Linked DNA regions of Ovis aries. The protein of the gene in region 2 purifies or fractionates together with the protein of the main gene of each other region. This does not show direct contact. Links are inferred from orthologs where the notes say so. Each region holds a gene or a part of one and is shown on either strand. Other genes may lie near its edges. The genes, in order: DNAJB6, BAG3 and PDLIM7.

The links.
Region 1: the proteins of BAG3 (region 2) and DNAJB6 purify together in Homo sapiens (co-immunoprecipitation; 3 studies listed by BioGRID and IntAct, with this or other methods). This does not show direct contact. The link is inferred for Ovis aries from reciprocal best matches to the Homo sapiens genes BAG3 and DNAJB6.
Region 3: the proteins of BAG3 (region 2) and PDLIM7 purify together in Homo sapiens (affinity purification with mass spectrometry; 3 studies listed by BioGRID and IntAct, counting the BioPlex papers as one, with this or other methods). This does not show direct contact. The link is inferred for Ovis aries from reciprocal best matches to the Homo sapiens genes BAG3 and PDLIM7.

The regions. Positions count from the first base shown.
Region 1 is NC_056057.1:120,238,443-120,241,951, reverse strand, and holds part of DNAJB6 (dnaJ homolog subfamily B member 6), read right to left. Parts: intron 2,941-3,509; coding exon of another isoform or gene 2,840-2,940; exon of another isoform or gene 1,378-2,839; intron 942-1,377; coding exon 762-941; coding exon of another isoform or gene 679-761; exon of another isoform or gene 676-678; intron 1-675. UniProt on the Homo sapiens protein: Has a stimulatory effect on the ATPase activity of HSP70 in a dose-dependent and time-dependent manner and hence acts as a co-chaperone of HSP70. Plays an indispensable role in the organization of KRT8/KRT18 filaments.
Region 2 is NC_056075.1:39,287,690-39,291,874, reverse strand, and holds the start of BAG3 (BAG family molecular chaperone regulator 3), read right to left. Parts: upstream 2,823-4,185; 5' UTR 2,470-2,822; coding exon 2,284-2,469; intron 1-2,283. UniProt on the Homo sapiens protein: Co-chaperone and adapter protein that connects different classes of molecular chaperones including heat shock proteins 70 (HSP70s), e.g. HSPA1A/HSP70 or HSPA8/HSC70, and small heat shock proteins (sHSPs), e.g. HSPB8.
Region 3 is NC_056058.1:36,691,300-36,694,941, reverse strand, and holds part of PDLIM7 (PDZ and LIM domain protein 7), read left to right. Parts: intron 1-108; coding exon 109-145; intron 146-327; coding exon of another isoform or gene 328-424; exon of another isoform or gene 425-698; intron 699-1,077; coding exon 1,078-1,148; intron 1,149-1,293; coding exon 1,294-1,531; intron 1,532-2,927; coding exon 2,928-3,108; intron 3,109-3,642. UniProt on the Homo sapiens protein: May function as a scaffold on which the coordinated assembly of proteins can occur. May play a role as an adapter that, via its PDZ domain, localizes LIM-binding proteins to actin filaments of both skeletal muscle and nonmuscle tissues.

The DNA.
Region 1 (3,509 bases), on a different chromosome or scaffold from region 2:
GAGGGGGCGCCAGGGGGGCTACAGGCACCAAGCTGCCAGCAGTAAGTTCCAGGAGAAGAAAGCAGCAGGCCCTGTCCTTTCAGGTCCCTGCCTTGCCCCAGGTGCAGTCAGCCCCACTGAGACGCCATCCCGACCCGGCGGGTGAGGGGCCACCTGTCCCTCCACCTCGTGGCCAGCTGTGGTCAGCCTGGCGACTTCCGGCCCTGAGAACCAAAGTGATCGCTGAGAACTGAGGAACAACCCCAACTATCGATTCCCGACGCCTGGCTCCAGACTCAGCCAGGTCCAGCCTGCACAGAGCCGTGCCCTCAGACGTGATACAGAACCTTCTATGAGGACCGCAGTTCACAGACCCCCATGGGCCCCCCAAGATAACGGCGGGTCAAGAAGCTGAAATAGGGCGGGACAGGGCCCGTGTGATCCCGGGCAGGAGCCCTCCACTGGAGGAGGGGGGGGCCAGGTCGGCACCCGGGACCCAGCGAGAGGGCCCCCAGGGGCAGGGGGCCCCAAGGCCGCGCGCATGATCAGCACGAGGGCGGGAAGCGGGGTCAAGCGGCTGACGGAGGGCTCCTGGGGGCAGGCTGTGCCCGCAGGCTCTGCCAAGTCAACACACACATGCGGTGCTGGGAGCCTGGCGCCCGTTTAATGTGGCCGCGCACGGCCGCCCCCACCCACCCGTCAGGCCAGCACGCAGCAGCACAGGAGGCGTCTCGGTCCTCGGGAGCCCCGCGGCGGCCGGGGGGCGGGGTCCCGGTGCACACCTGCGCAGAAGGCGCCCGGCGCGTCCTCGTCCTCCCCCGCGGCGTGCGCTGCCGGCCGGGGCGGGGGCGCGGGCCGCGGCGGCCGCAGCGAGCGGGCGCTGGAGCTGGCGGGCTGGGCGGGCAGCGCGCTCTGGCCTCGTCGCAGGCACTCCTCCGCGAAGGCGTCCTCGTCGGCCACACCTGAAAGCAGAGGGCGAGACGCGCGTGAGCCGGGCCGGGGCCGCGTCCTCGCGCCTGCGGGGCCGGAGCTGAGCCTCGCGGAGAGAAAGGGGGGACCAGGCTGGGCCTCGCCGGGCCCCGGGCTCAAGGATCCCGAAAGCCCCCCGTTGGCCCCGGGGCAACAGCGGGGCCGTGCTGCACGGGCATCGCCCCGGGGAGAGGGCAGGGCCGGCCGTGGGCCCTGCCGCGATGGAGGCAGCAGACTCCCCGCGTCCCCCGCGCAGGCCGGAGCGCCGCTGGAGCTCTGAGCCGAGGACCCGCACACTCGGTCACTTGTCACACCAGACAAACGGCCGAGGCCGTGCCTCCGCGCTCAGGGGTTGTGTTTCTATCAGTCTTTTCGAAAATGGGAGGAAGTTCTGCATATGATGCGAACACCAGGAACACCAGAAAGAAACAAGTGGCAGCCACCACCGAGCGACTTCCGGCTTCCTTCTCTGCAGTCACAGCGCCCTACGCGAGGGCACGCTGCCAGCAGCCCAGAAACGTGGGAAATGGGGACCCCGGGTGGTGGGGGCATGGGGTCATGCACGCCAGTGCCCCCTCAGCTGCCCCGCCCACCGCAGACCCCACTCCAGTCCCGCTGCCCCCTGGGGAGGACAAGATGACCGCTATGCTCCCGAGATGAAAGCCCTGCTCTGCCCTGGTAACCGGGCCCCAGGCCCCAGGCTCGGTGCTGTGCTGGGGCGCGGGGCCTCGCCTCTGTCCTCTCCAGACACGCCTCCTCCCCAAACCCCACACCTGCCCTGGCCAAGGAGTCCTCCTCCAGGAGCACAGGCGCTCACCCTCCAGGCGCAGCTGACTCTGGGGAGCCCAGACCCGGGGCCTGCGCCTCCAGGGCTCCTGAGCGGGCGCCGCGCCCTGCGAAGCCTCTGCCCGCCCTGCAGGCCTGGCAGGCGCCCTGGGGCGGGCCGCCACCAGCCTCATGGTCCCCTCCAGCAACACACACGCAGGCCTGGCAGCAGGGAGGGGTACCTGGTGGTCAGCGTGGGGCCCTGGCCACTCTCACAGCAGACATCCACCCCGAGGGGCGCTGGCTGAGGAAGCAAGCCGGGCTGTGACCCTTACTCCCGGCCCCCCGCCTGCACAGGGCTGCCTCACCACCCCCGAGGGGTCACCAGCACCACGGGGACACGGGCTGTGTGCGTGAACAGAGCGCCTCTGGGACACGACCGTCTGCGGGAGGAAAGTGCGTGAGTGCAGGGGCGCGAGGCGGAGCAGGGCTGGGAGCTCCCAGGGGCCTACGGGTTGTGGGGTCCAGCACACAGACACAGGCATGACCCCCAAATACACGGAACACTCCGGGGGAGGGGGCCCCAGAGCCACAGCTAATACATGACCGTGACGGTGACGCGACCTCCAATCCGCAGGACGCAAGTGGGGAGGGTGGGCGGCCCAACCCTGCCGCCGAGGGTCAACCTCAGGCCCACACTGGGCTCCCGTCCACCCGGCAGGAAGCAGCCGGCTGACCACTCCCGGGGGCTTCAACGTGCTTTTGCAGGGACACCGCGCCGCCAGGTGGGGCCCAAGTGTCCAGGTGCTAGACAGGCTCACTGTGGGCAGCCACGTGCCCACAACGGCCTGGATGTGGAAGGGTGGGCATCCTGGGGGTCAGCCTGCTGCCGGTACCCACCTCGGGTCACCTCAGAACCCCAGGGCCCATCAGCTGTGCAGGAGAGGCGGGGCTCCCCCAGCCCCGTCCCGCTCAGGGAAACCCCCGGCGCGTCCGTGTGAGGGTGAGGCCAGCCCACCAGGCTGTGCGCGGGATGCCCCTCTGCTCTGGAAGGGCTCCAGGGGCGCGAGCGCACAGACAGGGGCCCCGTGGGAGCCGCAGAGCCCCTCCCGGCCCCAGCACCTCCTCAGTCCTCGGGGCTGCACCTGCCGTCTGTCTGGGCACGAAGCTCTCTGGAGACACCAGGCCCGCCGTGTGGGGCACACAGGACGCCAGGCTTCCACTCCACTGCGGGGGAGAGGGTTCGGTCCCTGGTTAGGGAACTAAGATCCCGTGTGCCCCGTGGCATATAAATAAAATGAAAAACATGTTTAAGTTCGACAGCTGCTCTTATTTTACAAAAGCACACAGCACAGAGCTCGGGGCTCGGGGCCTGGCGATCCCCCCGAAGACTGGGGCCCACTGTAGGCCAAGGGGGGACCCTCCTGGGCCCCAGGGTCCTCTCGGCATGCAGACGGCCGTCTACCCCCGACCAGGGCGCACACGCACCCGTGAGGCTGGAACCAAGGGCAGCTCGTGCACTCTCACGCGGGGTGGCCCCTCCCACACCCCCGGGCCACACCCAGCTCGGCGAGGGGCCCGTGCTGTGCTGTGCTGACCCGGCACCCGCCCTGGCTCACAGCCGACTCCTGGCACCCTCCCGCCTCCTGCCTGCCGCCATGAAGCCCTCTCTCTAACGAGCACCAGGCCACAGGGTCTTTGAACCGGGCATCGTCCAGGGATGACGGAGGGGGCGTGGCCTCTGGGAGCCCCTGATAAGCAGTGGTACCTGCACGGCTGGGCTCTTCACGTCGCAC
Region 2 (4,185 bases):
CTAGTGCCACGTTGAGAAATCTCAATTAATTTGGTAAGCAGCTCTTTTTTTGAGTTGATCACATCCAGCCATCACCATCCAAGTAGTCACAAAAGTCAGAAGGGCAGAAAAACAATCAAGTACTCCAGCCTTCCCAGTTCACACTTAAATTTCATAGAAATTTAAGAAATTTAAGACTCTTCTACCTTCCTCTGAACAATAAACTGCCTCTTAAATAGGACTTTCCGGTGTAGGTCTCTCTTTGCTATTGGTCCTGGCTGAATGGCCTTTGGAAACACATGTGAACTCTCTGGGTTTCTTTCTCAGAAAAAGAGAGGCTGAGCTAAAAGATCTTAAACGATCTTTCAACTTTAAAATTCTGTTAAATTTTCAAATCAACTTTTATGGCATCAAACTTCTGATTTACTAGCTCTTATGTTCTACTTGTTGAGAAAAATAACAGTAACTTAACCTGTTCCCCCCGCCCCCTTGCCTTGAAAAAGTTTGTAAAACCACAGCCTAACCATCCATCATACATAAGATCTCAACCTGCTGGGTGAGTTTCACGTTGAAAACCAAGCGCCAACAATGTGGCATGTACACTGAACTCACAGTGGATACGTTCCTACTTGACCTACACTCACCACCACTGACGCCAGTGGATTCTGACTCTTCCTGTCTCTATAGGAAGGAAGCCTCAAAAAGACAGGTTGGTTTTTTTTTTGGCCTCAGTAAAGATCTACACCCTTGCAGTCTGCAGTAACAGAGCTGGTTTAAAATGAGCTTTAGTTTCACTCAATAATGGGCTGAACAGACAAGCGAAAGGAATACATGGTTATGTCGATCCCAGCTAATTACAGCCTCTTGAAATAATTTTCAGGAATAAATATACAATTAATTTCTCATAAGCATAAGCTGCTGATTATACAATATCTCACTGTTGGGCACCAGAGTTTCATAAATATTTTAAAGGAAAAAGCTGCATAAAACTGAAGATGGTTAACACAGATTTTTTTCTTCTAAAACAATGGTTTATAAAACATTTTTAATTCTGTGAATTTTTAAATCTTAAAAATAACTTACCAGCTCTTTATGTCTTCTATTTTGCCCAGACTATTTCTTTTTGCCAAGCTTTACGTTTTGAAAAAGCTCAAAGTTATAAAAATTACAAGAGCAGTACAATTAGTTATAATTTTTTAAATTAACAGACTCATTCCAAGTTTATATTTTCAAATTTTCATGGTTCTAAGGATTAAGTAGTATATACACCCCTGCGTATATGTAAATGAGGCATACTTCTAATACAAAAGTATTACTACTAAATTATTTGTGTATTGGGGATAAGAAAAAATCCTAAATATTTTAGTAGCATAACGAGAAAGGGAATGTGTTGATTTTTTTTTTTTTTTAATCTCTTTCTGACCAGGGTGAGGCAGTATCTAAGGCAATAGTCAACTAGGAGACAGTCTCACATCTTCAGTTTAGAAATTGCCTGGAAGATTGCATCTTATTTTTAACAAGTCATACTAGAATATATTCCTAGTGAGGACAACTTTCAAACAATAATAGAGTTTTAATTTCAAATACAGAAGGGAAAAAATAAAGAAAAGGAATGCATTTACATCAGTCTCCTGAGTCACTCTGTGCCTGAGGTGGGAGAGTGAACTCCAGATACCCTCAACCAAGTTTAGGAACTTGAGGATGTAAAATTCCTAAGAGACCCTAAAGGACCCCCACAGAAGCTTGCCAACGGTCCCCTGGCGTCTGCCAAAGCACGGTCAGCAGAGAGAAAGGAGGATCTGAGCCCTGGAAGCCGGGTGGAGACCGTGGCAGGGCCTGGCCCGGGCCTTGGTGCTGAGCAGGCCGGCCACCCGTCGTCTCCTGGCCCAGGGCCCCTCGAATGGAGCCGGTGGACGGGACCTGGTGCCACCGCGCGGGTCCCGCTTCCCGCCCGACCCCCGGAAACCAAACACGGCCAAGGGAGGGCAGTCCTCTTGGGAAGCTCCCCAAACTGGCCCAGACGCCGGCCAAGGGCGGGCCTGGAGAGTGGGCTCGTGGGGGGCGCAGCAGGCCGACCCCCCTGGGAGCTGGCGTCCTTCTGGGGATCCGTGCATTCCAGGCGGCCTTCACTGACCTCCGAGGCACCGGCTGCGGCCGGCGGGCACCTGGCGCCTTGCGTCCCCGCAGCCGGGCCCAGTCCAGCCGCCCCCGCCCGGCCCTGTCCCTAGACTGGCCGTCGATGGGGGGCTGGGGGGAAGGTGGAGGGGGAGCCACTGGCAAGGGTGCGGCGCGGGCCTTGCTCACCTTGGGGCCCTCGGGGGGCACGCGCGGGTCGTTCCACGTCGTGGTGCGGTTGTTGTGGTCCACGAAGAAAGGCCAGCCGGTCTGCGGGTCGATCTTGATCTCCCAGCCGGGGGGCAGGGGGTCGCGGTCGCTGGCGCCGTTGCCGGACGCCATCTGCACCATGGGCGAGTGGGTGGCTGCGCTCATGCTGGGTCGGGGTCGGCCCGGAGGGGCGGCCGCCGGGGTGCTGGGTTGCAGGGTGCCTGGTCGCGGGGTGCCGGGTCACGGGGTCGCGGGGTGCCGGACCTCCAGGTGTAGGGTCGCTCGCTGGCCGCTGCCGGAGCGGAAAGTCGGGAGCGCCGCCGACGTGTCCGGGAAGCCGGCGCCGGGCACCTTTATGAATTAAAGGAGGGGGTGACGTGGCCGGAGAGGGCTGGAAGTGTCTGGAAATAGCCTCCTCGCTGCCAAAGGGGAAGGAGGAGATAAAGGGAGGTAGCAACTGGCCGGCTAGAAACTTCTGGTCCCATCCAGAGAAGTTGGCGGCGACGCGGGTTGGATGCGGAGCTCCGCCCTGAGTCATCAGCTATAATCGGGGCGGGGCGGGGCGTGGGCGGGGCGTGGGCGGGGCCTCCGCCGGCCGCCCCTCCTCCACCCCGCCACCTCTTCCCCCTATTCGCGGCTCCCCGGGTCGGGGGCTCCTGGCGGAGTCTTCCCTGAGCTGGGCGAGGGGTTTGCATCCGCGGGATCCCTGTGTCGCCGAGCGGCAGGTCGAGCGAACCCCCGGGGACGTCATCTGTGTGTCCTGGGCCGGTTTCGGTTTTCAGATTTGCTTGGTCTTCTTCGAGCCGCGTGGGTGTTCCCGGGACTGGCTCCTTCGTGTAAAAACAAACTCATCGTTAGCCTTTTAAGTCGTTGGGGATTAAACTAGAGTCTCTCCCACCTCGCCTTTGTACCCCCAGATTACTGATACTCCGGGACATTGGTGACCCTCAGTTAATCACTTTTCCCCATGGGCTTAAGGGCCGTCCGGAAAGGGCTCTGGAATGTTGATCCGACACCAGAAGCAAGCCAGGGCGAATAATGGAAGTACAAATAGAAATTCACCTGCCTTTCTTTCGAATCCTAAAGAAAGATTGCATCAGCGCATGCATGTTGCTGAAGCACATGTCTTAAACGTAGACTCTGTCGTTGCAGTGAAGAACTTTAAAGAAAAAACATTCTTTGGGGTTTGGGGCTTGTTGATGGTGCAAGTTGGTTCTTGCTATCTTAATCTGACCTTCATTTGGAAAGTAGTGTAAATCATGCGTGCTCAGTCACCTCCGACTCTTAGCGACCCTGTGGAGCCTGCCAGGCACCTCTGTCCAGGGAATAATACAGGAGTGGGTTGCCATTTCCCTCTCCAGGGGATCTTCCCGACCTAGGGATCAAACCCATGTTTCTTGCACTGCAGGCGGATTCTTTACCCACTGAGCCACCTGGGAAGCCCTTTGAAAAGTAGGAAAGAATACAAATTATGAAAAAAAATTTGTGTAATGAAATGGTGGTTGCACTTGTAACCTCCACCAAGCACCTCATTTCCTCTGGGAGAGAGAGAGAAAGTATGCCCCCAGAGGTGGTATGTTGGGAGGTCTCATTTTAGATTTTTAGGCCTGCAGGATCATTCCCTTCCCCAGAAACATTTTTGAGAAGATGCCTTGGGCTAAGTAATATTGGGCCCAATATTCCAACTCAAATGCAGAGGACATTCTGGAACCCTCAGAAACACTTTTTTGGAGTCTCTTCCCACCCCCAAATTACTCCTTTTAGAGCAAATGCTGAAGAGAACTGCCAATCATTTTCAATGGAATGGGGGTCTCACTTACATAGGTCTACTTACCAGCTTTGAAGTACAAAAACTCAGCTTTGTGAAAACACAGAGATGTT
Region 3 (3,642 bases), on a different chromosome or scaffold from region 2:
GCCTGGACCCAGGCTTAGCTGGAGCCTGCTCCGGCACCCTCTACCAGGGCTCAGGGCTGGGGTGGCCTTCTGTCTGCTCTTGGTCAATGCCTGCCTCTGCCCTCTCAGTGCAAGACCCGGATGAGGAGCACCTGAAGAAATCAAGGTAACAGGTCAAGCTGCAGCCCCTCCTTCTCATCTCCGGCCTCTCCCATTCCAGCCCTGTCTGCTCCTGGCCATCCCTAGCCAGGTTCATCCGTTCTCCTTCCTTCCTCTGGTCCTCCCTCCCTGCCTCCCTTCCGTCTCTCCTTCCTTCCACTTCCTTCTCCTTCTCTCTCTACCCCTCAGGGAAAAGTATGTCCTGGAGCTGCAGAGCCCACGCTACACCCGCCTCCGGGACTGGCACCACCAGCGCTCTGCCCATGTGCTCAACGTGCAGTCGTAGCCTGGTCCTCACCAGCCGGCTGCCCTCTCTGCCTCTTTCTTGCTGTTCCTCCGCCCCAGGGCACCTCCCCTTGGCGCCTCCAGCTTCTGCCTGCCTCACCCATCCTTTTTCTGCCCCTGGACTGAGCCTCCTGCTGTCCTGGCCCCAGCTGCCCTCCTGGCACAGGGCCCGGCTCCATCTGACACCACTGCCTTTACTCTTTGCCCTGTGGTACTGCTGTCTGCCAGGTCTGTGCTGGCTTTTGGGGCATGAAAATAAACATTCTCAGCCCTGCTTTCTCTGCCTCTGTTCTCTTATCTTTGTGGACTTGGTTTGCATTTGGGGTCAGGGGTGTTAGATGGTTCAGATCCAGTGTGGGCCCTGCCAGTATGGGTCTCAGTGGGTGGGGGTACTCAGCAAAGGGCCCCCTGCCATCAGAAGGACCCTCGCGAGCGGCCCCAGAAGTGAGAGCCCTGCTTCACCTCCCAGCCCTGTGCGACAGACCAGCCAGCTGGAACCTGGCCAGGAGAAATTGCCCTACCCATCCCTGCCCTGGGGGGACCTGGAGTCCTCTGCTGTCATGCACCCAGGCATCTCTCATGGGGCCAGCAGGACCAAGTTTGGGGGGTGGGGCCATGCCAGGAGCCTCGGCCGTGCAGGGCCTTGAATGACAGATCTTACAGCCAGGTGCCCAGGACGGAAGCCCCAACCCCAGCCTCAGCTACACCCCAGGAACCCTGGCCTGGTGAGAGAGCGTGGGCTTGATGGGGAAGGGCGGGTAACCTCCAGAGGCATGGGGGTCGGGCCCCTCCAAGCTGCCCCAGGCTCTCCCCACTGTCCTGTGGTGTCCCTGGGCACCCCCATGGAGCCACTTTTCCTGGCCTTGGCAGGCCCTACCACCCCCAGTCCCACGAGCCGCCCACCCTGGGCTGTGGACCCTGCATTTGCTGAGCGCTATGCCCCGGACAAGACCAGCACGGTGCTGACCCGGCACACCCAGCCAGCCACACCCACGCCTATGCAGAACCGCACCTCCATCGTGCAGGCCGCCGCTGGAGGGGGCCATGGCGGGGGCGGGGGCAGCAACGGCAAGACTCCCGTGTGCCACCAGTGCCACAAGGTCATCCGGTGGGTGGCCCCGTTCCTTCCTACCCTGGTCTTTTCCTGAACTGGAACTCCAGCCCTTTCTGACCACTGCTCCTCCCATCTGTCTCCCTACTCATCTCAGCTGCCCCCTGCTCAGCCTCTCTTCAACATTTGGCCTGGCAAAATGGAGGGGTTGCCAACGACATAGCCAAGCTGCAGCCCTAGACTCGCTGCTCTCTGGGCCAGGAATGGCCTCCCTGCTCCCAGCCCCTCTGCCTTTCTCCTTCCTGCTCACTTGGTTTCTCTCTGCTAAGCCTCTCAAGTTCCTCCCTCTCTGCGCTGCTCCCCAGGGCCCAGCAGAGTCCCACAGCCCCCAGAATCGGATCTGTGTCAGGCCCCAGAACCTTCCTAGTTCTCATACGAGGCACTGCCCTGCTGTCAACTCCTGTCAGCTCTTAAGCTCTGGAAAGCACCCCCTCGTTCAGACATCCCCATTTATCTGGGATGGCCGGGTCCCTCTCCAGCATGGATGGAACAGGCCAGCGGAACAGAGTGGGCACCAGGCTCAGCTCAAGTACCCACTGGTCTTCAGGGCTCGCAGGTACTCCAGGCCTGCTGTCCCCCAGGACACCAACCCCTTGGGTTCAACTTATTAGGCTCAAGTCAGCAGTCTTCACCCAGTGTCACCTTCCTCCCTTTCCTGACACTACCCTTCTCCCTCACCTCCTGTCATCAAAACAGTGCAGCTTTTTAAAATATTTATTTGGGTGCCTCTGATCTTAGTTGCAGCACGTGGAACCTTAGTCGCAATGCACGTGCTCTCTAATTGTGGCACATGAGCTCAGTCGCCCGGAGGCATGTGGGATGTTAGTTCCTCAACTAGGGATTGAACCCGTGTCCCCTGTCTTGGGAGGCAAATTGTTAACCATTGCACCACCAGGGAAGTCCCACAATAGTCAGCTTTGTCTTGCTGTTTGATCTTAGGCAAGTCACCTTTCAAGCCTGTCTGTTCCCTCTTTGGAGAAGGCAGTGGCACTCCACTCCAGTACTCTTGCCTGGAAAATCCCATGGATGGAGGAGCCTGGTAGGCTGCAGTCCATGGGGTCACTACGAGTTGGACATAACTGAGCAACTTCACTTTCACTTTTCACTTTCATGCATTGGAGAAGAAAATGGCAACCCACTCCAGTGTTCTTGCCTGGAGAATTCCAGGGATGGGGGAGACTGGTGGGCTGCTGTCTATGGGGTCGCACAGAGTCGGACACGACTGAAGCGACTTAGCAGCAGCAGCAGCAGCTTCCCTGTTTGGAGATGAAGAGAATGAATGTTCCCTTCAAGGTTTCATAATGGGTGTGGGGTAAACCCTGTGGGGTGCTGGCCAGGAACCCCGACTTCATTTGCACCCACTCCCACTCATTGCCCTCTCTTTCGCCTGCAGGGGCCGCTACCTGGTGGCGCTGGGCCACGCGTACCACCCTGAGGAGTTTGTGTGCAGCCAGTGTGGGAAGGTTCTGGAAGAGGGTGGCTTCTTCGAGGAGAAGGGGGCCATCTTCTGCCCACCCTGCTACGATGTGCGCTATGCACCCAGTTGTGCCAAGTGCAAGAAGAAAATCACCGGCGTGAGTGGGGCTGGCAGCTGGCGGGGGTGCTGGGAGGGCAAGCCTGACTCTTCAGCGTTGAGGAGTGTTGAGCAGCTCCTGGGCTGGGGGGCTCTCCCTGCAGGACCCTGTTGGAACCTTACCAGCCTCATAATTGGGCTACTATATTGACCTTACTTTACATTAGCCAGGATTGTCTTTACAGGTGACTTAAATCCTAACTCTAAAGGGCTCAAGCAGGAGAGATTTGGCGCCAGTAGTCAGAAAGGCTGAGGGCTGCTAACTTCTGGCCCAGCTGAATGCAGATCCAGGTCGTCAGGAGTCTTGCACTTGCCTCTGGTTTCATCTGTGTTGGCTTTGTTCCCAGCTTGCATTTCCATAGAAAGCGGCAAGATGCTGCTACATCAGTGGCTCCAGGGTTGCATCTCCCAGGTTAGCACTGCAGAGAAAGAGAGCACCCCTGTGCCAGCTGATGCATCGAGTCCCAGTGCTGATGCTCGTTGGCCTGGCTTGCTTCACATGCCCATCTCTGAATCAAGCCCTGTGACTCTAGTT